3 linked regions of the Drosophila melanogaster genome follow. The protein of the gene in region 2 interacts with the protein of the main gene of each other region in a pairwise test. Each region holds a gene or a part of one and is shown on either strand. Other genes may lie near its edges.

What was found. The genes of interacting proteins can lie anywhere in the genome.
Region 1: the proteins of Sry-alpha (region 2) and CG5708 interact in a two-hybrid assay, tested with the Drosophila melanogaster proteins (one large-scale study listed by BioGRID).
Region 3: the proteins of Sry-alpha (region 2) and CG15482 interact in a two-hybrid assay, tested with the Drosophila melanogaster proteins (one large-scale study listed by BioGRID).

What each region holds. Positions count from the first base shown.
Region 1 is NT_033779.5:10,222,101-10,228,339, reverse strand, and holds CG5708 (uncharacterized protein), read left to right. Parts: upstream 1-1,531; 5' UTR 1,532-1,675; intron 1,676-2,374; 5' UTR 2,375-2,466; intron 2,467-2,528; 5' UTR 2,529-2,589; coding exon 2,590-2,836; intron 2,837-2,907; coding exon 2,908-3,061; intron 3,062-3,190; coding exon 3,191-3,382; intron 3,383-3,447; coding exon 3,448-3,580; 3' UTR 3,581-3,883; downstream 3,884-6,239. Other genes in the region: ova (ovaries absent), read left to right, coding at 1-479; Bcs1 chaperone, read right to left, coding at 3,899-5,194; Prosalpha6 (proteasome alpha6 subunit), read right to left, coding at 5,932-6,138, 6,197-6,239.
Region 2 is NT_033777.3:30,036,159-30,045,315, reverse strand, and holds Sry-alpha (serendipity alpha), read right to left. Parts: upstream 5,598-9,157; 5' UTR 5,504-5,597; coding exon of another isoform or gene 5,431-5,503; intron 5,378-5,430; coding exon of another isoform or gene 4,380-5,377; 5' UTR 4,055-4,379; coding exon 2,462-4,054; 3' UTR 2,245-2,461; downstream 1-2,244. Other genes in the region: RpL32 (ribosomal protein L32), read left to right, coding at 1-3; Sry-delta (serendipity delta), read right to left, coding at 536-1,837; Sry-beta (serendipity beta), read right to left, coding at 4,380-5,377, 5,431-5,503; janA (janus A), read left to right, coding at 5,882-6,071, 6,130-6,254, 6,361-6,453; janB (janus B), read left to right, coding at 6,678-6,729, 6,788-6,943, 7,001-7,125, 7,187-7,276; ocn (ocnus), read left to right, coding at 7,671-7,881, 7,936-8,060, 8,116-8,226; ZIPIC (Zinc-finger protein interacting with CP190), read left to right, coding at 8,515-9,157. UniProt on the Drosophila melanogaster protein: Required for the cellularization of the syncytial blastoderm embryo. Involved in the localization of the actin filaments just prior to and during plasma membrane invagination.
Region 3 is NT_033779.5:13,208,417-13,213,682, reverse strand, and holds CG15482 (uncharacterized protein), read left to right. Parts: upstream 1-1,868; 5' UTR 1,869-1,901; coding exon 1,902-2,831; 3' UTR 2,832-2,910; downstream 2,911-5,266. Other genes in the region: kek4 (kekkon 4), read left to right, coding at 1-674, 740-1,026; Pect (phosphoethanolamine cytidylyltransferase), read right to left, coding at 3,455-3,772, 3,838-4,023, 4,084-4,247, 4,906-5,018, 5,196-5,262.

The DNA of each region.
Region 1 (6,239 bases), on a different chromosome or scaffold from region 2:
GCTCGCCCAAAAGACTTGGCTCGGATGCACTGACTGTAATAAAACTTACACATAACAACAGAAATTTGTACAGTAGCCGCGTCGTCGAGCCAAGTAAATGTGCTCCAGAGCCAGAATCAGTAATAGTTGATAATTCGGTTAAGCCCCTACAGCAATCTTTATATATTTATTCAAACTATAAGGCTAATTCAGTAATTAGTCGCTGTACCGTAGACTCGATAGCCAATCATTCACTGGTTGGTTCCCTGAGTACATCGAATACTTTTGCTGATTCTGAGGGACACAGAAAGGAATACAATCAGGAAAACTGCAATTTTTCTAAGAACTTGGTCGCACTCACAGACTGGTACGCTCATTCGGCTAATTCGAAAAAAAGCACTACAAATCAGACTACTGAGAGTAGTACGTTTGATGCGATTTCCGCGGCTCCGCCTTTCAATGGCACTGGGCGTATAATTTCCATTGATTTAACTTCTTAGACATTTTAATCCATAGTTAAGTTAAGAAATTGTTATTTTACAAGAAAACCTAAACTAAGAATTACCATATATGAATAAATAATTTGTTTAAATACTTTTATATATAATGTCTAAATTCATTTTCTCTGCGTTTTAAAGAAAAGACATACTGTAGAGGAACCCTACTGTTTTGGGATCTCTATTACCACGTATAGATGGTAATCAGCATATTTTCCATCCGTTTTCTTCATAGTTCGAAGCGTTAATCGATGATCTGGTTGTTTGAAAGCATCGACATAAAGTACACGTAAATAGTACATGACCTTCAAAAGCTTATTTTTTTTGGTTATGAGTCACATCATAATTTTATTACGTCATTAAAGAAAGAGAGGGGACGTCAGGGTTAATACAAAGTAGCATTAATCCCATGATTGATACTTGAACCAGTCTTTTCGGTATGTACCTCAACCCAACGTGGGCTTGGCCCTTTGTAGAGTTAACCATCACCCCGCCTATTTTAGGCGATTCAGCTGTACGCGTCAGCTGCTTTTGGTTTGGCATATCTAGTTTTATATCGCATTTTCCATTCATTCCGATGGGATGAAGAATTTGATATAATTTAGACCATCCCAGATGTTTCTTTCCCACACTGTTCCACTCGATGCATTCTCACTGAAAACGTCTTTCAAAGAATACCACAGTAGTCCAATTTATGTAAGCCAAAACATATGAAAGACAACATTTTAAATGTTTATTTTATCATCATATGAAATTTCTCGGTCGCAAACGAAAATATAAATGTTTTCCACCGGAATAGAAAAATATCGGTGATCACAGCGATTATCCATATATAAAATGAATAAAATGGATGGATAAATGTCTTATAAATTTGGTATTCTTTTAACTTAAATACATAGGTAAATATAAAAATTTATTTTATTGCTTATCTTATTCAACCTCAATATAAATAGAAAAAAGCCAAGACATCATCACTGACTGCGATATTATACAGCCAAATAACTGAATTGACCGATTAAAATGTGGAAGTGTACACGGTGCACCCTGTATAATCGCGGATTGCTTGCTTTCATATCTATGAATTAGTTTGGTATGTAAAGTCGTATACAAGAAATGGTGTTTGAAACCAAAGCGATTTTACTGTTCCTCATGGTGTTGTCAAAGAAATTTTCGCTTTTAAATAATTAATTGATGAGTGTGTAAGTGAATATTGTGTTTATTGTTTACAAAAACCCCGTTTAGTCGAGTGATTAAGTGAAACAAATACCAGCATATATATGTACACAAAATTTCGCTCAAATGTGCCACTGACAGCAAATCAGTATTTCTGTACATAAACGTCAAGTTTGCCAGTTTGAAGTTTTAGTTCGCCGTAATGAACAGTGCAAATTACAAACATTAAATATTGATTAATCTATCGGCGTAAGACCGCAGTTTGATACACACATATATGTACGTACATTGCAAGCGTTCGCTGCGAGTGTGTGTATGTATGTATGGTCATTTGGGTGTTTTACTTATGTACATATGTACGTACGTGCGTATATAATCAATTTGTATGTAATGACAGCTGTGCAGAATGCAATGATTCAAAAATAATTTCAAATTGGATCGCTTTCGAAAATCCAAAAGTCATTTATTTTGCTGATTGCCTGTCGCTATTTTTGCATCCGCAATCGGCGAGAAATGGCGTGAATAGCACGTTCTGTCATCGATTGATAAAATAAATATTTTATTACCTTCTAGTGAAAATTCTGGATGGTAGTTTGAATTTTTTTTCAAAATCGGCGTAATTGTACTAAAAGAGATGCATTTATATTTTTCCTTACTAAGCTTAACATTTATCTGTAAGCCCACTGCTCCTTAAAAAATAATTGATTATTTTAAACCTATTTTAGATATTTTATGTGGTTTATGCGTTGAGTTTATGGTAGAAACACGGCAATTATGGAGTTCCACGACTAGGCTTCATTTTTGCACATGTTAAAAGGTGATTTTATTAATATATTTAACACATTTCCCTCTATCAATACATGTTTCTGTACTTTTCAGGTTTAAACCATAAACAGGACCCATATGCCTTCTACGACTTAAGTCATCAACATTATTTGCAATGAATGCAACGTTCCATTCATACAGAGACATACTAGCGGCACATCACCAAGACTCATCTAGTCCTGAGAACTTCGCCCCCATAGTAATTGACTATAGAAACTCAAACCACACAAAGGACACTGTGGAGACCAACTCGAATATCTCATCGTCTCAGCTATCGTTCATGGACGAATCTTCAAACGATTTCAATAATCAGCAGTTAATTCATTCCAACTCCCTTATTAAAGTGTGTGGTGGTTGTGGAGGTAAGTTCCTTGAATCGATTCATCTATGAGCTACAATAACTTAACTCACGTTTTCTCTGTTTCGCTTGCAGATAAAATAAGTGATAGATATCTTTTATACGCTTTGGACAGATACTGGCACAATGGCTGCCTTAAATGTCACTGCTGTGGAGCTATGCTAGCAGAAGTGGGTTCCAGCTGTTTTACGAGGCGAGGCCTGATTCTTTGCAAAAAGGACTATTCCAGGTACGCACGCATTCGACTGAAAAGATTATTTCAGCTTCCTTAAAAACATGTTGCCTACTTAATGGCGTCAACCATTTAGATACTCTTTAGATTATGTTCCTTGTGTTCAAGTTCACATTTATTTTCCAGCATGTTCGGGTGCTCCGGAGTTTGTTCTGGCTGCGGAGAAACTATACCGCCAAGTGAACTGGTAGCGAAAGCACTTACTGGAATAAATAATATCGATTTACAAAATCAACAAAAACAAATAATTAATTGCGTATTTCATCTAAGGTGCTTTAGTTGTGCTAAGTGTGGATCCAGTCTGCGTCCTGGTGATAGGTATGCCTAACAACACACTGCAGTGAAGAGCGAATTTGAAATGGAATTGCTTTTTCTTTTTGCAGGTATACTATGTTAGGAGCTAGCTTGGTGTGTGAACAAGATTGGCACAAATTACTTAAGGGCCCCGCCAACTCGAATGGAACGCTTGGACAAAGGAAAGGAAAGGTCGGTAGGCCCAGAAGATCAAAGGACTAATCAAACTTAATGTCACATAAAATATACATATATTTTAGAACATAGTTCATATTTTTAAATTACCTATAAAAATGTAATTAAATCATAATATAAAACAAGACCTTCATTTAGGTGAGTTCGATTGGGAATTACACGTGCAACTATGCATAAAAACGAATGGATAATCTTAAATCATTGAAAAATGAAATAAATTCGAAAACAATGACATAAACTAATATCGAATGACAGTAAAATTGATAGATGTTTTAATTAATTAAGACCCAAAAGGGACATCAGTCTTGTCTTAAAGAGCTTCAAGTAAACAAAATCCACAACAATTCAATTAATCTTTTTATTATGATCTAAAACATTTTCCCAGATATCTTCACAAGAATCAATAACAGTTTGCGGCGAGGACAGTTTGTGCTTCATGAAAAAGCCTTGAATTTGCGCCGGACTAGCGGAGCGTCCAAAGGAATTCACTCGTTTTCCGAACTCCTCGGCTTTTGTGGTGTCACTGCTGGCGAAGAAGTTCTTGAACATCTCCTCCAACTGATATTGCGTACAATAGCCAATGTATTCCTTTAAATCGATTCTACCAGGACGAACTAAGGCGGGATCGAGGCGGTCAATGTAGTTTGTTGTCATGAAGACAATTCTGGCCTCCGTGGAGCCCACACCGTCCAAGCAATTTAGGAGTCCACTGAACGTTATCCTGTTGAGACCGTCAAAGGCGGATTTCTGCTGCGGAGTAGCTTCGCGCGAGACGAATGCTGCGTCGATGTCCTCCAGCAGAATGATACTCTGCTCTGGCGCAACATTCAGGAGATGATTGAGTCGATCATCGGTGAGGCCTCTTTCGGATAGGTTTAGCAGGCAGACACTGTACTCCAGTTCGCCCGCCAGGGCGGTTATAAAGCTAGACTTGCCACAACCAGGTGGCCCGTACAGAAGGTAGCCTCTTCGGTAGGGGATTCCACGTTGCGTATACCACAGAGAGCTCTTAATGAAGTCCTGGCAGTCGGCAATGATTCGCTGCGAAGTTCCGCGATCCAGCACCACCGATCCAGTGGGACGCCTTCTGCGCGGATGTCCGAAGGGTCTCCATTCCGCACCCATCGCTGTGTACAGCACGGTTTTGCCCTCTGTGGCCTCCAGAGCCAGCTGCCTAGCCTCTTCGAGGATATCGAAATATATACCTTTATTGTTACCAAACGCTGTAAGCGTCACTGTCTCCCAAGGAACACCCATGTGAAGGTCCAATGTCTGTTGTTCCCTGGTCCGCTCCACCTGAATCCAATTGCCCTTGTACTGGAACAGATGCTTGCCTATGCTGGGTATGAAGTCATAGCTGGTTTTGATTGTGCCATTGTCGTTCTGCACAAAGTTTGTCTCCACGCTCAAGTGTTGCGTTTTTCGCGCTCCTCTGATCGTAATCCATTTTAACAGCCACTGATAGGATTTGTCCCGACACGGCACCTCCAGGGTAATCATGCAGTGCCGCCGGAACAGTATCACTCCGCCCTGGAGGCCCTTGCGCAATATGGCAGCAGCGGCGCCCACACCAAATAGTCCAAAACCGGCACCAAAGTAGGGATTTGACGAAAGTCCAGCTACAAGATCGGGCAAAGTCATCTTGTCTGCAAAAACCGAGAACAAGGATCAACGTTTAATTAAAGTGTTTTACTCTTTTTCGGCAATAAAACCCTATAAAACAACACCTGTTGCTTAATCTATCATCCAAAACATGGGTTCCTCCTGTAAACAATGGTACATCTTTTCGAAGCAACTTTTTAAACAAATAAAACTGAAGTCTAACATATACTGTTTACGTGCGCTTCAGCAAAGGCACCAACAATTTTATTTTCTCATGAGAAAACCATGTAATTTTATTATTTAAATCAACCATTTGCCATCACTCTCGTTATGTAATTAATTGTAATTTAGGTGTGAGCAAATAAATATACAAGTTGCCGCTGAAGTGGCACATTTTATTTGGCATAAAAACCATCTTAGAGGATAACTTGTCATTCACTAAAAGCAATCAACATTTTTTTATAGTAGAAATGTTTCAATACCGGCATTGATAAATATTTTTAATCCAACAGTGTGACCGAACTGTGAAATCGGAAAAATGCAAATAAGTTGGGAAAACTTATATCGAAAAACCAATATTTAATAAATACTATAAATAAATAATAAATGAAGGTTTAAAATTAAAATCAAAAAATTTTACCCATAACATTGATTTTTTGTATTCATTTATTCAGTTTGTTCCGTTTTAGGATCTATGCAAATGCATGAACAATTTTATTGTATCCTTGAATCTTACATTTTTAATGGTTAAGATGCTTTCATAGCCCTATAAATGCCTATGGACGCTGCTCGGTTGCAACCAGGACTTCTGGGTCGCGTGGTCCGGCTGCTGGTTCCTCTGGGGGGGATGGGCGATCATCGTCATCGTCGTTCCTGGGCGTATCATTGTCATTCTCTTTGGCAATCGCCACATGCTTGGCGCTGTCTTTATTAGAGAGAATTGTGAATGGCTGGTCTTTGCCGACGATGGCCACAGTGATGTCCTGCAAGAAAAACACAATTTACTAACTATTCGCGACGGGAAATGTGCAATGAACTTACATACTGACCGGCATCTTTGCCTTGCTCATCCGTAGGCAGGGTA
Region 2 (9,157 bases):
TAAGCTTAAGATTCTTGAGAGTTCTTGTAACGTGGTCGGAATACACATTTGTAAACGTTAATATACCGGACTTTTAGTTAAAAAATGATGTGCGAGTGCCGAGTTCAATTGTCATTTCTGAGATTGGGATAGCAGCACCATTGATAACATGTGCATTATCTGGATGGATATCAGTTAATCCAGACCATTGCGGTCTTTCTTTCTGATAGCAACTGCCTCGAGATATTAGACCAATATAAATTCCTTGACGTGCCAAAACTAGACAGCATCAATCCTTATCAGGGAATTTTGTTATATATTTTACATTTTTCCCCCTTAGTATTGAAAGAGGTTGTTTATATGAAATCATATATATATTCGCAATTATTTTTACAGAACAGTGTACAATTATTATCGGAAATGCTTCTGTCTAAATGAAACGCAGTAATTGAAATACCAGTAAATTATATTTTGTAGGAATCTACAATAATCAAGTACAAAGAGGAGGAAATACACTAGGGAAAGATAAACAATTACTTATTGTAGGCAATGTAGCTTATTTCAAGACCACGTCGTGATCAAATTGCAAGTGGTGTTCGAGCTCCTTCTTGTTCTCGAAGTTGGTATTGCAAATGAGACAGAAGCCGCTGTTCTCATCGTTGTCGGACATGATGACGGTGACGGCCGCCTCCGATTCGTCGACGTCCACATGCAGCTCCTCCACCACCTGCTGCTCGTCGGCGGGCGCCTCCTCGCGAACCCCGTAAACGACGTCGCCCTCGTGGGTCTTCATGTGCATCTTGAGGGTGTAGCGCTCGGTGAAGGACTTGGGGCAGACGGAGCAGTAGTGTCTTGGGCGGTTCTCCTTGTGAATGAGCGTGTGATGGTTGAAGGTCTTGCGCGACTTGAACGACACATTGCAGATGCTGCATATGATGGGGTTCTCCTCAGCCTCGTGGCGCAGCCGGTGGTTGTAGAGTAGGTTGTCCTGGGAGAACCTCAGGCCGCACTTCTCGCACTGGTACTTCTTCTTGTCCCAGTGCATGCGCATGTGGCGCAGGGTGTTCACCGGGCGCGAGAAGCTCTTGGGGCAGTAGCGGCATTGCTTTTCCGTCTTGCCCTCGTGCAGATTCATGTGCAGCTCCAAGTACTCCTCGTCGCGCCGGATCACCCCGCAGATGGGGCAGATGTGGTTGGGCTGCTTGGAGTGCTCCTCGCTGATGTGCTTCTGCAGTTGATACCAGGAGTTGTACACCTTGCCGCAGGTAGTGCACTCCTGCTTGACGCGCTTCTTCGTCGGCCTGTCCTCGCCATCGGAGGACTTGCCATACAGGGCCTCGGAGTCGCCCACATCCACGTCCTCGCAGATGAACTCGTCGTCGTCGTCGTCGTCCTCCTCCTCCTCCTCGTCCACGAACTCTCTCTTTATCTCCGTGTCGGACTCCTCCTGATCCTTGACCAGCTCCACGAACAGGGCGTCCGCCTCGGCATCGGCGTCTGTCTCGACATCGCTTTGGGGTATCTCCACCTCCTCCACGAGTATGTCCTCGCCGGACTCCGGCACCTCGAACTCGGACTTTAGAGCGCCCTTTAGCTGGGTCGTCAGCCTCTTCTGGGTGGTCATCAGGTTCACCATGATCGTGTCGTAGTCGGAGAGCTCCTGAAAGCAGCGCGGGCACAGCCGGGCGCCGGGCTTCAGGTCCAGCTGCGTCTGGATGCAGTTGGCCAGGTGGGTGAGCACCAGGGACACTGTTTTCTGCGACGACGGCACCTTGGCCGACAGCGTCTCGTAGCGCATGGAGCTGGAGGAGCCCGTGTCGCTCAGATCGACGGCGCCGCAGAAGAAGCAAGTATCCATTGCGCCGACGATGGTCCTTTTAGCGATTCCGTTTCGTGCGGCGTTTGTTTACAATCTTTTAAATTGTGTATGAAATTTAATAGAGTTGGCAAAATGATGAATATCGGAAGCTATACTAAAATGCGTGAAATGCAACCATGGCATAATGCCCACCAGGGCTGGCGAACGATGCCGATTGATGCCAGGAACGGAACGGTGGGAATGGAACAGGGTGTGAAAACTGAAATATATGAGTTGAATAATAAAAATATGTGTTTGCTCAATATTGCAAACGGATATTCAATTTGCATAAATACATAATTTGTTGTTGATTATTATGGTGGTGTTGGTTTCTTTAGTTATGAAAACGAGTAGCATTTAATTTATTGATTCCCTGAAAAAATTGAATTGAATTATATAATTTTTTTATAATGGTATGTTTTAATTGTATTTTATATAAATTATGCGAATGGCTTCAACTTAATGAAGTAATTACATAAGTGTAAAGAACACAATTGACTTAGGTAGCTAATTAGAATCTTTGTAAGGATATGTTTAATCTTAATTAAGCACTTCAAGCCAATGAAGTATTAAAAAAAATCTCATACAGATAAGCCCGCGTATTTAGAATATGGCTCGCCCCACTCAATCTAACCTAAGAATCTCAGTGATTTGGAAACTAATAAGATCGCTTTCGCTGTGTCCGGATTCAGCAAGTGAGTCCTGTGGCCCGAAAACTGAGCAATTTCCGGTTTGTTTTACAAAGGATCGATGCCGTTTGCCAAAGGATCGACTGCTCCGCACAAAAGTTCGGGTTGCACTTGAGGGCACTTGAGCTTCGGAAGCAACTGAGGAATCGGGCTCCAGATTATCCCTGCATATCAAGTCCCTCAGCTTGGCCAGCACGGAGTACAGTATCTTAAGGCGCTTCACGATGCGCTTGGGATCCACTGGGACGTCCAGGTTGACCACGGCCTGGCACTCGCGCAGGATCAGAATGAGGTCCTTGTGCACCCGCTTGCCATCTTCACTGAGTCCCGAGTAATTGACGGGCAGCCGAAAGTGATCCACCACCACTCCGCCCCTCTGGACAATCAGCTTCAGATGGCTTTTGTCCTGTACGTGGATCCTCTCGCCCAGCATGTCCAGGTAGTTGTTGATCAGGGAGCAGCTATCGATGATTTCGTGGATGACGTTCCTAAAGATCAGCAGCTCCTGGTTAAAATGCTCCTGCAAGACCTCCGCGTGGTGTGCGGATGAAGTGGACTCTGGCAGCTGGAGAGCGGGCACAATGCACGCATCCAGGGATTCCAGTGAGGCCAGGCAGCTCCTGACAATCGTCTTCGTTTTGATGTCCTGCGAGAAGGCTATGGCCAGAACCCCAATCTGCTGAATGCGATCCATGTTCGTGTCGAATGCGGAGATTAGCTCCTGAGCTCCCGCAGGATCCCTTTGCAGTGCATCCTTTAGCTTCTCCACCGAAGCGTTTTCCAGATCTATCAGACTGACGAACAGCAAGTGCAGCAGCGCCTCATTGAGAAAGGATTCCAGGGCATAGAGGGCACGTTCCAGGGAGAGGGCCTCCAGCTTCCGATGACCACTGTTGGGCTCGCCCGCCTCCTCGTGGAAAGTGGCACATTCGGCGAGCAAGGTCTCGCACAAAGCCGTCAAAGCCTTCTTGTCCGAATGAATGGCCACATTGGCAAAGGCCAGGGCGTGGCGAACGATGTGATTAACTATGCTGGCCAGCTGGTAGGTGTCTTCCGTGAAGCTCTCTTCTAGAATGTGCAGCGAGTTGTTTCTCTGCTGGGCCAGCTTCTCCATGTAGTCATCCAAGTGGTCCAGAGCCAGGTCCATGAGCTCAACGAAGGAGTGATCCTCTAGGTTCTTGACTGGGGTCACGTTGCCTTCCAGTTGCGTCAAGGAGACGAGCAGTCGCCGCAAGCACCAGTCCAAGCGGTCGAGGAAGTGCTGCCTGGTCATATGCGGTGCCTCCATGCTGATGGTCCGCTCTAGGTGGGTGATGCAGGTTACCACCTGGGTGAGGCACAGGAAGATGGTCTCCACATCAAGGTTTGCGCCACTGGGCGCCACCTCCGGCAGCCTAGCCTTCAGATCGCTGGCGAAGTCCAGGAAAGTGGCGCAGAACTCGTTCAGCCAGCCAATGTTGCCGGTGCTGCTGTAGCCCTCTGCAATCAGCTCACTGCAAGTGTGTAATTGGGCCAATAGCTGTTCCATGCTGTTCTATCAGATGTGCTCCGGGAAACAGAAATGTTCAACTAAGTTCTGGCGGACGACGCAACACCTTTATATACTTTGCCAAGCGCACAGGTAGAAAGGACCTATTTTGGGGATTAAAAAACATCTGCCTGTTTTATTGCCATACCCGCGAAAATTCGCGAAATCCGCTACTTTACCTACTGGGGTTCCTGGAAAATGGGCGAAGAACGGCAAAGAACTGGTACTTTCCGTCAATAATTGTTTAGATTTAATTTTATGATACATACGCGCGCTAATGCACCCATGAGCTGGGCTTCTTAGATTAATCTAGCAAAGGACTACCCTAAAAGAACGTGACGGTGGCTTCCTTGGCCTCCGCCGACTCTGGCTTCTCGACCGGCTGGTGGACCCGCTTGTGCACCTTCAGGGTGTACTTGTCCACGAACGATTTCTCGCAGTCGGGGCAGGGGTAGCGCGGCCGGTCCGTCTGGTGGGTGCGCAAGTGGTGCTTGTAGGTGCGCTTGGTCTTGAACTGCTGGTGGCACACCTCGCAGATCAGGGCGTTCTCCTCGGCGTCGTGGCGCATCAGATGGTTGTACATCAGCCAGGAGAGCGAGAAGCGTTCGCCGCACTTGTCGCACTGGTACTTCTTCTTGTCCCAGTGCACCTCCATGTGGCGCAGGACGTTCCGCTTGTGCGAGAACTTTTTGTCGCAGTAGCGGCATTCAAGTTCTGTTTTGCCCTCGTGCAAGTTCATATGCAGATCGAGTACCTCGTCGTCCTTCACTTTCAAGCCACACACGTTGCAGGTGGCCTGCTCGCTCTTCTGGCAGGTGTCCGCCTTGATGTGCCGCTCGAGCACCTCCTGGCTGGAAAACATCTCGCCGCAGATATGGCAGGGTATCTCGGTGGTCTCGGTGAAGAACTCCTCCTCCGACGACGGCATGCTGTCGTCCGGCTCGCTGAACTGGAACTCCTCGTCCAGCATCTCCTCCTTCATGAATTCCTCGCACTCATCCTCCTCGCCCGGCTGCCTTTCGGGCTCCTTGAGGGCGGTGGCCTGGACGATCTTGAAGGCCGGCACCTGGACGCGGGCCCTCTTTGCCGCCTGTTGCTTGGTCTCCGCCTTGCCCTCCACCTGCCTGCAGCCGAGCAGTGCGTCCGCAATCTGGCGCTGCACTTGGCTGAGATTCCTCACCAGCCTGTCGTAGTTGAAGAGGTACTCCAGGCAGTCCCGGCAGGCGGCCGAGTTGGGCAGGAGCTCCAGCCGCTGGTTTATGATCTTCTCGAAGTATTTCAGTATATCCTTGATGGGCTTAAAGGTTCCTGGCACAATGCAGCCTGTGAAAAAGTCGGCTATCAGGACTTTCGAGTGCGGCGTAAGCGAACGTTACCTTCTATCAGCTGGAACACCCCCACGGACTTCTCCTTGCCGCAAACGAAGCAAAACGGACGCGTGGAGCTCATCTAGTCGCCGTGGAATCCAATCGAAAATTCGGCTTAAACAATTTAATTTGTGTATATTTTGTTGTGAACGCCAGAGCTGTGCCGATAGTGCCGATAGTATCGACTGCGTGCTGTCGGCGTAATCGATAAATTTGCTGTCACTGATAACAACGTTTTCTTTTTGAGTTTATTAATTATTACTAAAATATACTGAGTAGTACAAAAAACGTTTTCCCAAATGTACTAAAGAAATAACTGAATATTATAATTTTAATAGTATCGATACATAAGGTGAACGAGAATAAAAGTATCTGGTCACATTGCTGGACTAAAGCAGCGTTTTTGGAAAATTTGCCGGTTGGTAAGACATTAAATTCTGTTTTCAAACACTTTTCCACAATGAATCGCCTCCAACTGCTTTCCAAAGGACTACGACTGATTCACAAAATGTCCGAGGAAGCACTTGCCGGCGTGCCACTGGTGCACATCAGTCCAGAGGGCATCTTCAAGTATGTCATGATCAATGTCTTCGATGGAGGAGATGCTTCAAAGGCGGTGATCCGCGGATTTGCGGACTGCACATGGCATGGTAAGTCGGATCCTCATCACCCATCAAGTGCCCACTTAGCTTGGTTACTGTCCCACAGCCGACATCTTCGAGCGCGAGGAGGAGGTCTTTAAAAAACTGGGGCTGCGGGCCGAGTGTCCTGGCGGCGGTCGCATTGAACACAATCCCGAGAAGAAGTACTTGAAGGTCTACGGATACTCGCAGGTGGGTCTATTCCCTTGAGTAAAGGGGTCGCTGGGCAGTGGATGGACTGATGTATCTAACTACTTGAAAAATTTTCTGGAGTTCTAATCAAGTCTTTCTATTTAAGGGCTTTGGAAAAGCTGATCACGCGCAGACCAAACGCATCCTGGCCACCAAATACCCGGACTACACGATCGAAATCTCCGATGAGGGATATTAGCTGCAATCAACGAGAGAAGACTCCACATAAGCACACTGACATGAATTTATACCATTGGCTTTGATCCTGTGTGCCATGATTTTATTGGAAATGGCATTTAAAATTGAGAAATGCTCTGAAAGGCAGTTAGTCTGTAGCTTTGCAACTGCTCGCACTAAACCTTTTCGGATCTAAATTAATCAGTTTGTACACAAATTTCGTTTCTTTTCCTTTGGTTAAATAAAATGAAAATGTTCAAGTCATTGCGTCTGCTTCCTCATATTGTTTCTCCGTTTCGTAAGGCTTAGGAATATTCAATATTAAGATTTACAAGCCCTAATATACTTGGTTTTAGAAAAATGTTACTCAACCGATTTGATAAGTTTGGTAGGCGTTCCCCGGGTCAAGATAACCAAGGGTCAGAATCGTTATTTGTTGGTGAATATTCATACGCATGGCTTCACGAAGTATGGAAGAGTTATTGTCCGTGGCGCCGATGTTGACAATCACTGTGAGTTTCCACTGCTGGACGCTTAACCTTGAGCAGTCTTACAAATCCTTCTTTCAGTGGCGGTCTTCGACTCGATTTTGGAGGAGCTGGAACCCGAGGGCATATGTGCCAAAATCCTCGGTGGTGGAAGGATTCTCAACGAGGCAGAAAATAAAAAAATTAAGATCTATGGCACCTCCAGGGTAAGTAGAGGATCCTTGGTCCTTGAAGCACCGGCTAATGGTTCTTGATGGGTCTCCCTAGACTTTCGGCGGTGCTGATCACACAAGGACAAGGAATATACTTCAAGCGTGGACCACTTATAAGGACTTTAAGATAACCGTTAAACAATAAAGTTGCATAAATTTCGAAAATGGAAATTCAGTACTAATAAAAAGAAAATAGAATATAAAAGTAGCGCTCTTTCAATATTATTAAGGGGTAATCGAACAGGCGATTGTAATTGGCGGAATATGGTTGATATTTCCATTTCTGGAGAGAGTAGAAAGAAGAGTAATTTTGCATTTATAGTTTAGTTCATACAAAAATTTCTTTCACAAGATACAAGGGCTTAGTACTTTTTGAATGATCACATGTGCTCCGATTTTCGTGTCAGTCTTGAATTTAGCATACGACCGGAAGGCTTCTGACAAAATCAGTCTAGCTGGAGCCTTGCTACCGTTCATACCAGTTTCTTTTCGGAATATTTCATCTAAATTCCAGTGCGTTTTCCTAAAATTTTTCCAAAATGAAAACCTTGAATCTTTTGGCACCTGTTTCACAATTGTTGAAGCCCCTTCGAAGGCAAAGTTCTTCGCGCGTAAACGCCCTTTTGATAAATGTTCCTAGAGTTCAGCTTTCTAAAGGCAAGAACAAGTACCTTTTGATGATGATTCACATGCACGGTTTAACTAGGTTCGGCAGGACCATTGTAAGAGGATCCGCCTCCAAGGACCACGGTTAGTTCTAATAATCAGTATAGCTAATACGTGTTCTAATCGTTCTGTCGCCAGAGGAAATCTTTGAGGAAATCCAAAAGGAGATGGACAAAATTGGAATTTGCGCCAAATGCCTGGGTGGAGGGTTCATCAGCAACAAGGAGGACAAGAAAGTAATGAAAATTTACGGGTGCTGCAAGGTAAGTGGATGAAGTTGGCTACGATCAACCTGATTACTAAAGAGACTGCCTGCAGACTTTTGGGGAGGCGCCGCACGGCAGGACGAAGGACATACTGCTGTCTTGGACCAAATTCCAGCATTACAACATCATCTTGCCCAAAAAGAATCTGAACGCGTATCAGTGAAGGCGTTTGAAAGCTTGTTTTATTTTTCCTAACTGCCCTGTTGGCAATTTATAATACAACAAAAAATTAGTAAATACATGGCTACATATCGATTTGTTTTTTCGCTGGGTGTTACAAATTTTCAGCTTTTGATTTTGAGTTTCAGATCTGCTTTGTTGGTTAGCAGCCAAAGTTCAAATTTGGAAATTGAACCAGATCACATCGTCGATAACCGATAGCTGTGCAATCGGAGCCTTCTTCAGGGCACGGTCACACTGCCCCGAAAGTGTAAATAAATTTCAATCAAATATGAATTGCTGCATTTGTCAATTCTCGGTACGCGTACCGAAGGACATTCACACCGATACCGTCGGACATCCGCCGGTGCTGATCAGCGAACTGGTACTGCAGTGCACCCGGGGCACGAATTACGTCCTCACGGAGGAATCGTCGACGATCTGCAAGAAGTGCTGCGAGAAGCTCGCCAGATACCACAAGTCCATACAAATAGCGCGCAAGCTGCGAGGGGAGATCCTGGAACTGATCCACAGTCCCTACATGTCCAAGGACCACAAGCAGACCTCCTACAAAGAGGACGATCTCGACCGAGAGACCACCATAAGCAAATTCGATGGGAATATTGAGGAGGCACAGCAACAGGACGAGGAGGAGCAGGAACTGGAGAGCGTGGGCACCACCGTCACCCTGGTCGGTCCCGCCGGCATCGTGGAGGAAGTGGCCGAAGAGGAGCACACCTTCATTATCAAACAATCAGAGGAGGAGGATGAGTTCCACTCCGTAGACTTAGAGCTAGATATCGACAACGAGATTATCATTAACGAAGAGGAAGCCCACGAGGTAGAGGAGGTGGCCCACGAGATAGAGGAGGTGGCCCACGAGATAGAGGAGGAGGATCTGTTGCCACATGACAAGCAAGAGGCCCAGGAGGAAG
Region 3 (5,266 bases), on a different chromosome or scaffold from region 2:
AAAGCAGCGCATCTACATAGAACTGTTGCGTGAGGATGAATCAAAGATTCGAAAATTCGGACATGATGTTTTTGTGTCACGTCTAACGATAGTTAATGCCCGTAAGAGCGATGAGGGCGTCTATACCTGTCTGGCGGAAAATCCCGGTGGCAAGGATTCGGTTCACATAAGTGTGGTGGTGCAAAAGGATATGGAAAGGATTTCCCTCATCGACAGCAACTTCTTTGCAATAGTCTGCCTTATAGCCATGGGTTTTCTCAGCATGTCGATTCTATTTTCGTTGGTAACATGCCTAATATTTAAGAGATTCAAGCAGTTCCATCCCGGCCAGCACACTTATTTGCAACCCACTAGTTTGCCCGTTCAGTCACCTGGCAGTGAAGAAGCCACCGCCATCAGCGCCCTAAGTTCTGGAGTTATAAGGGAAAGTAAAATAGTGCTGGATCCATTAAGTGCTATCAATGAACCATCAAATAAAAATTACACTTTATTTAAAACATCCAATTCGAATGGCAGCGAGTATATGCACACGAGAAATTATAAAGACGTGAGATTAAACAGCAACACATATACTGAAAATCTAGACAATCAGGCGGAATCCATTTCATCGCGGAATCGGGAGCTCTATTCAAATATAGCTGGTGACCGGGAAAAGGAAGAGCTCAAACAGAAAGGCAATAAAATGCCAAATAAAATTAGTGCTCAAATTTTAACTTATTCTTGTTTTTCTCCTACTTAGATGAGCTCGATAAGGATTCCCGGCAGAGTTCCTTGCAATCAACAGGCTGCTCAAGAAAGAAGGGACAAATCGATGAACTCCAACCGGACCTTTTGCCTTCCACTCAACCTACTGCCTTAAAAAATATTAATGAAACTTTCGGTCCATCAGCGAAAAAAGCAGAAGTTAATCCCCGAAGCAAGTACAATACCAATGTGCAAAAGTACCTAAAGGAGAAGTACGGCAGTGTTAGAATAAAGAATATCAGTACTAAAGAACCCATTACTGGTGTTGATATCTCAATATAATATATTAATGTTTTATAATATGGCATTTCCCACCATACACAGCTGCGAATCCACCGTAAACCCCATGCCATTGAAATTTTAGTCTTTGCCAGGATTTCAATTCATATCCAGCCCTACCTCTCTAAGACCTCCAGGAGATAGATGGACAAAGGAGATCCAGTCAAGAAGAAATATACCTCGCCTTATTTCTGGTAGTAAATTATGTATTTTAAAACGTTACTAATATATAAAAATATTTATTTACACAGTTCTAAGTGTTTTAACCCACGCACTTTAAGTGAAAGGAATGTAATAATAAAGTTTTAAGTGATGCCTTTAAATGAAAAATGTGTAGCTTACTTGAATTAATCTTATATTATCATCGAATTCTAAAAAGCATTTTTAGTAAATCGTTTGATTTTATTTACCTGACCCACTTTTACCGTACTCTACGTTCTATCATCCCTGACCTACCCCGAATTCATTCTTGTGTGTGCTACAATTCCCAACTGCTTCTGGCCGTTTGCTCATGGAGACCCTTTTCGTTTTCCGTTTCAAGTTATCGCTTCTCGGCCTTATGGCTAAGATCAAAGTGTAGTATCTGTTCTTATCAGCTTAACATCTGATAGTTCCTCCATTGGAGGACAACAAATGTTAAACTGATTTTTGGAATCAGACGGAGTGCTAGGGGCTTGCTCCACCTCTGTCGCGGGTTGGCCCGGTATTGCAGTACCGCCGGGATTTCGGCCCAACTGAATAATAAATATTTAACTATTATAAAATCAAAAGGATCTACTTGTCAACACAGTAGACTTTCAAAAGTTGCTAGTATCTGTCTATCTGTCTAGTTTCTTATCAAAATTATGTCGTTTTGGCAAGCCTGATTACCTACCACAATGACTGCGCCATTTACCTCGCGTACCAACCAGGCCGCCGATTCCGGCAAAGATCAATCTCCCATCCATGGATTGAGCCGGAATCGAAAGCGTCAGGAGAGGCGAAAGCAGCGCCTGCAGGAAATGCAAGATTTGCTGTACACGAAACACTTTTCCAACTACAGACTGCCGGCATCGGTGGCCGCGCCAGCTCCCGAGGATCAGCTGCTCCTCAAACTGCAGAACTTCGAATCGCTGACCGAGCAGCCGTCCAGCAGCAGGAAGAGCACTGCGACCACATCTAGCGATTCGCCGTGGAGCCGACTGCGCCTGGTGGCATGCCCATGTCACGGATGCCTATGCTCGGTTGACCCCAGCGCTCTGTTGGGTCACTATTTGAGTGACCATCTGCCGGGAATGGGAGTTCCGTTTTATGAACTGGAAATGGGCAAGCGAGTGTCACTAACATGTCATATTAGTAGCCTGGAAAGAGATGTCAACACCCTGCTGGGGGTCTATGGCTATCGGCGCACTGGCCTTAATCCTCTGAAATGTCACCGAAACACCCATCTGCCAGTGGAGTACCGCCGCTTCTCGCAGCATAGCGCCCTTATGATCTTCGCCTGCCGCACCATGCACTCGGTGCTGTGGGAAAGGAAGCGTGTCAAACACGAAGTCCTGGCCATCTGGGTGGCTACTCCTTTGCACGGCGTGGCCATCACTCTGCGCCTGCTGGTCCAACCTGCCAACCTGCCACGTTACTACACCAGACAGATAAAAGCTCGTCCAATGCTGCCACTGTCGTCGAACCAATCCTGCAGTGAGTTCATCAAGACCGACAGCAACGTGATCCTCATCAGCTTGAATGACCTCCGGCCACTAATGGATTTAGATGTTTGGCAGCAATCGCTAACCGTCGAACTGAAAGTGATTAGCGAGGCAAGTATATAAAACTTCCGGTTTTTTTTTTTTTTGGAATTCGCAATATTTTTGGCCATGTATTTAAGTCTAAGATTAAACAAGGAAACATAAAACTTGAACTCGCACTTACTATATGCATTAATAAATTAGGACAAAGTATCAGAGATTACATTTGATAAAAGCAGCTACTTCCTGATCCAGGCATCCTACTTCCGTTGCTGAATATATATACATACAAGTCGTACAAGGCTTTTCAATTCGGCAACAGTTTGGATAACATGCTATTCGTACAATTTTGTTGTTCCTCACACTTACATCGTACTTTAAAGGGAATTTACAAATTTTGAGCTTACATACATAAAATTTAGATTTTAAATATTCTACGTTAATGTGTTAGAAATATATAATTATGTGTATAACCTTATATCATTAAGGCGCATGTGCAGATATTCTAAAATTGTACTAGAAATCGAGAGAGCGGTGCGCTGAATCCTCAGGCAGCGTCGCTTCGCTTTTTACGCAACAAAAAATTAAAGCGCCATCATCAGGGGACGACATACTAAACAAGACAAACTAAATAAAACAAACTAAAAGAACGCAACTAGAAAATAAAAAACATCCGTCTAGTGTGAGAGGTCGGAATCTGGTTCCGGCTAGCCGGCCTTTTGGGTCTGTTTTTGGCGTTGAAGTGCCTCAAAGGCTTCGATTTCCTTCTTTTCTTTGGCCTGATTGCGACGCTCATATTCCAGTCGGTGCGAGATGATGCGCTCCACGATGCGCTCCGTGGTCATCTCGTTGCCGGAATCGATCAGCTCAAAGATGGCTCGCGTCTTGGGAACGGCATATGGATCGATCTTGCCATTCTCAAGCGCAATGGGTGTGCGTCCATGACAGACAACATCGATTTTGAAGTGCTCAAGCAGCTCTTCAGTGACACAGTAGGGAGCTCCGATTACTACCTCATTGACAAACTGGGGGAAAAAAGAAGTTTTAAAATGAGATAATATTTAAAAAAAAGAATCTATTGCAATCCTACCTTGCAGGCCAAAACACTGAGCACGCGCTCGTGCAGATTCATAATGGGATAGTTGCTGCCCTTGTAGGAGTTCACCACGGGATCTGTGTGCAGGCCAACAATCAGATAGTCACCCAGTTTCTTAGCCTTTTCCAGAAAGTCCAGGTGACCCACATGGAAGAGATCGAAGGCGCCAGCCACATAAACCTGCAAATACCGACAATTATGAATTATACATTATATACATATAATGAGGGCTAAACTTACAATCTTATCGCCGGGATTCGGTGACTTTCCATCACTGAACTGTATGATCTTTTGGGTAGTCGGCAAGAACTGACTACAACCGGTCCACGGACTTTTGGCTGCCGAATCTTGACCCATGTTCGAAGAACCTGGATGGGATTTTATTTGTCGTTTTAAAATTGACACTTTTTTTGTTTGTTTTGTATTGTAAAGCAACGCAGACAAATGAGCAAAAGTGTGTATTTAAGAGCAAAAATTTACGTTTAGGATTTGATTTCGATTTGGATTCGGATTTGGATATTTTGATTGCAGGTTGGTCATTGGGCATTCGGCATTTGGATTCATTTCGCGGGCGCGCACACGCACAAAACATTTAGCATAGTTTTCATAGGTTTCATACATTATATTATATTTTTGATAGTGGTTAACAGTGCGTACATAGAAATAAAAAGAAGAGAAATAGTAAAGTTGTAGAGGGCAACCATAAACCAAGGCGTTATTTGCGTTCAACTATGGCAAATTAAAAAGAATCTATTGGGGAAAATGCATAAACTAATCGTGCGTAGCCCATGTATAAACTGAATATATCTGTATAATATTGTTCATACTTGTAACTGATTGATCGACTTTGATTTATGCACAGCATGCAAGAGCAATAAACAAGTTCGACAGCAGGAAATGAAAGACAAAAAGAGTGCAAACAAAAAGTAGTCTTAAAATTAAAGTTAGTAATGGTTAGAAACAATGAATTTGGCGCACAAATTCACAGTGCTCGCTGTGATTTAGGAACATTAAAATGAAAATAAAATGTGCCAGAAAAGCGTTGGAACAAGCTAAAGCTACCTTCTTTCTCGATATCATATTCCGCGGATCCTTGACGGAAGTGGTTGCGTGTCAGGAGCAACATGCGGCCCACAAGGTCAGTGGTCGAGACTCCAGCTGTGCGTTTCACTTCCCTGCGGATTGCATAAGAAAATTTAAGGTCAGTAATTGGAAAAATGTGCAGTACGTGCTTTACAAGACAACTGGCAGCTTATTAAAGGTTAAGGCAAGATGTACATAAGGTAAGTGTGTGTGCATTCCCTTTTTAATAAACTGCCACATGTCTTAAAAATATATCTTTTCAAACTCACTTGTAGCGATTGGCTGATTTGACCAAATGATATGTGTCCACTCCTTCGGCTGTCATTGTAATGTCATCTGC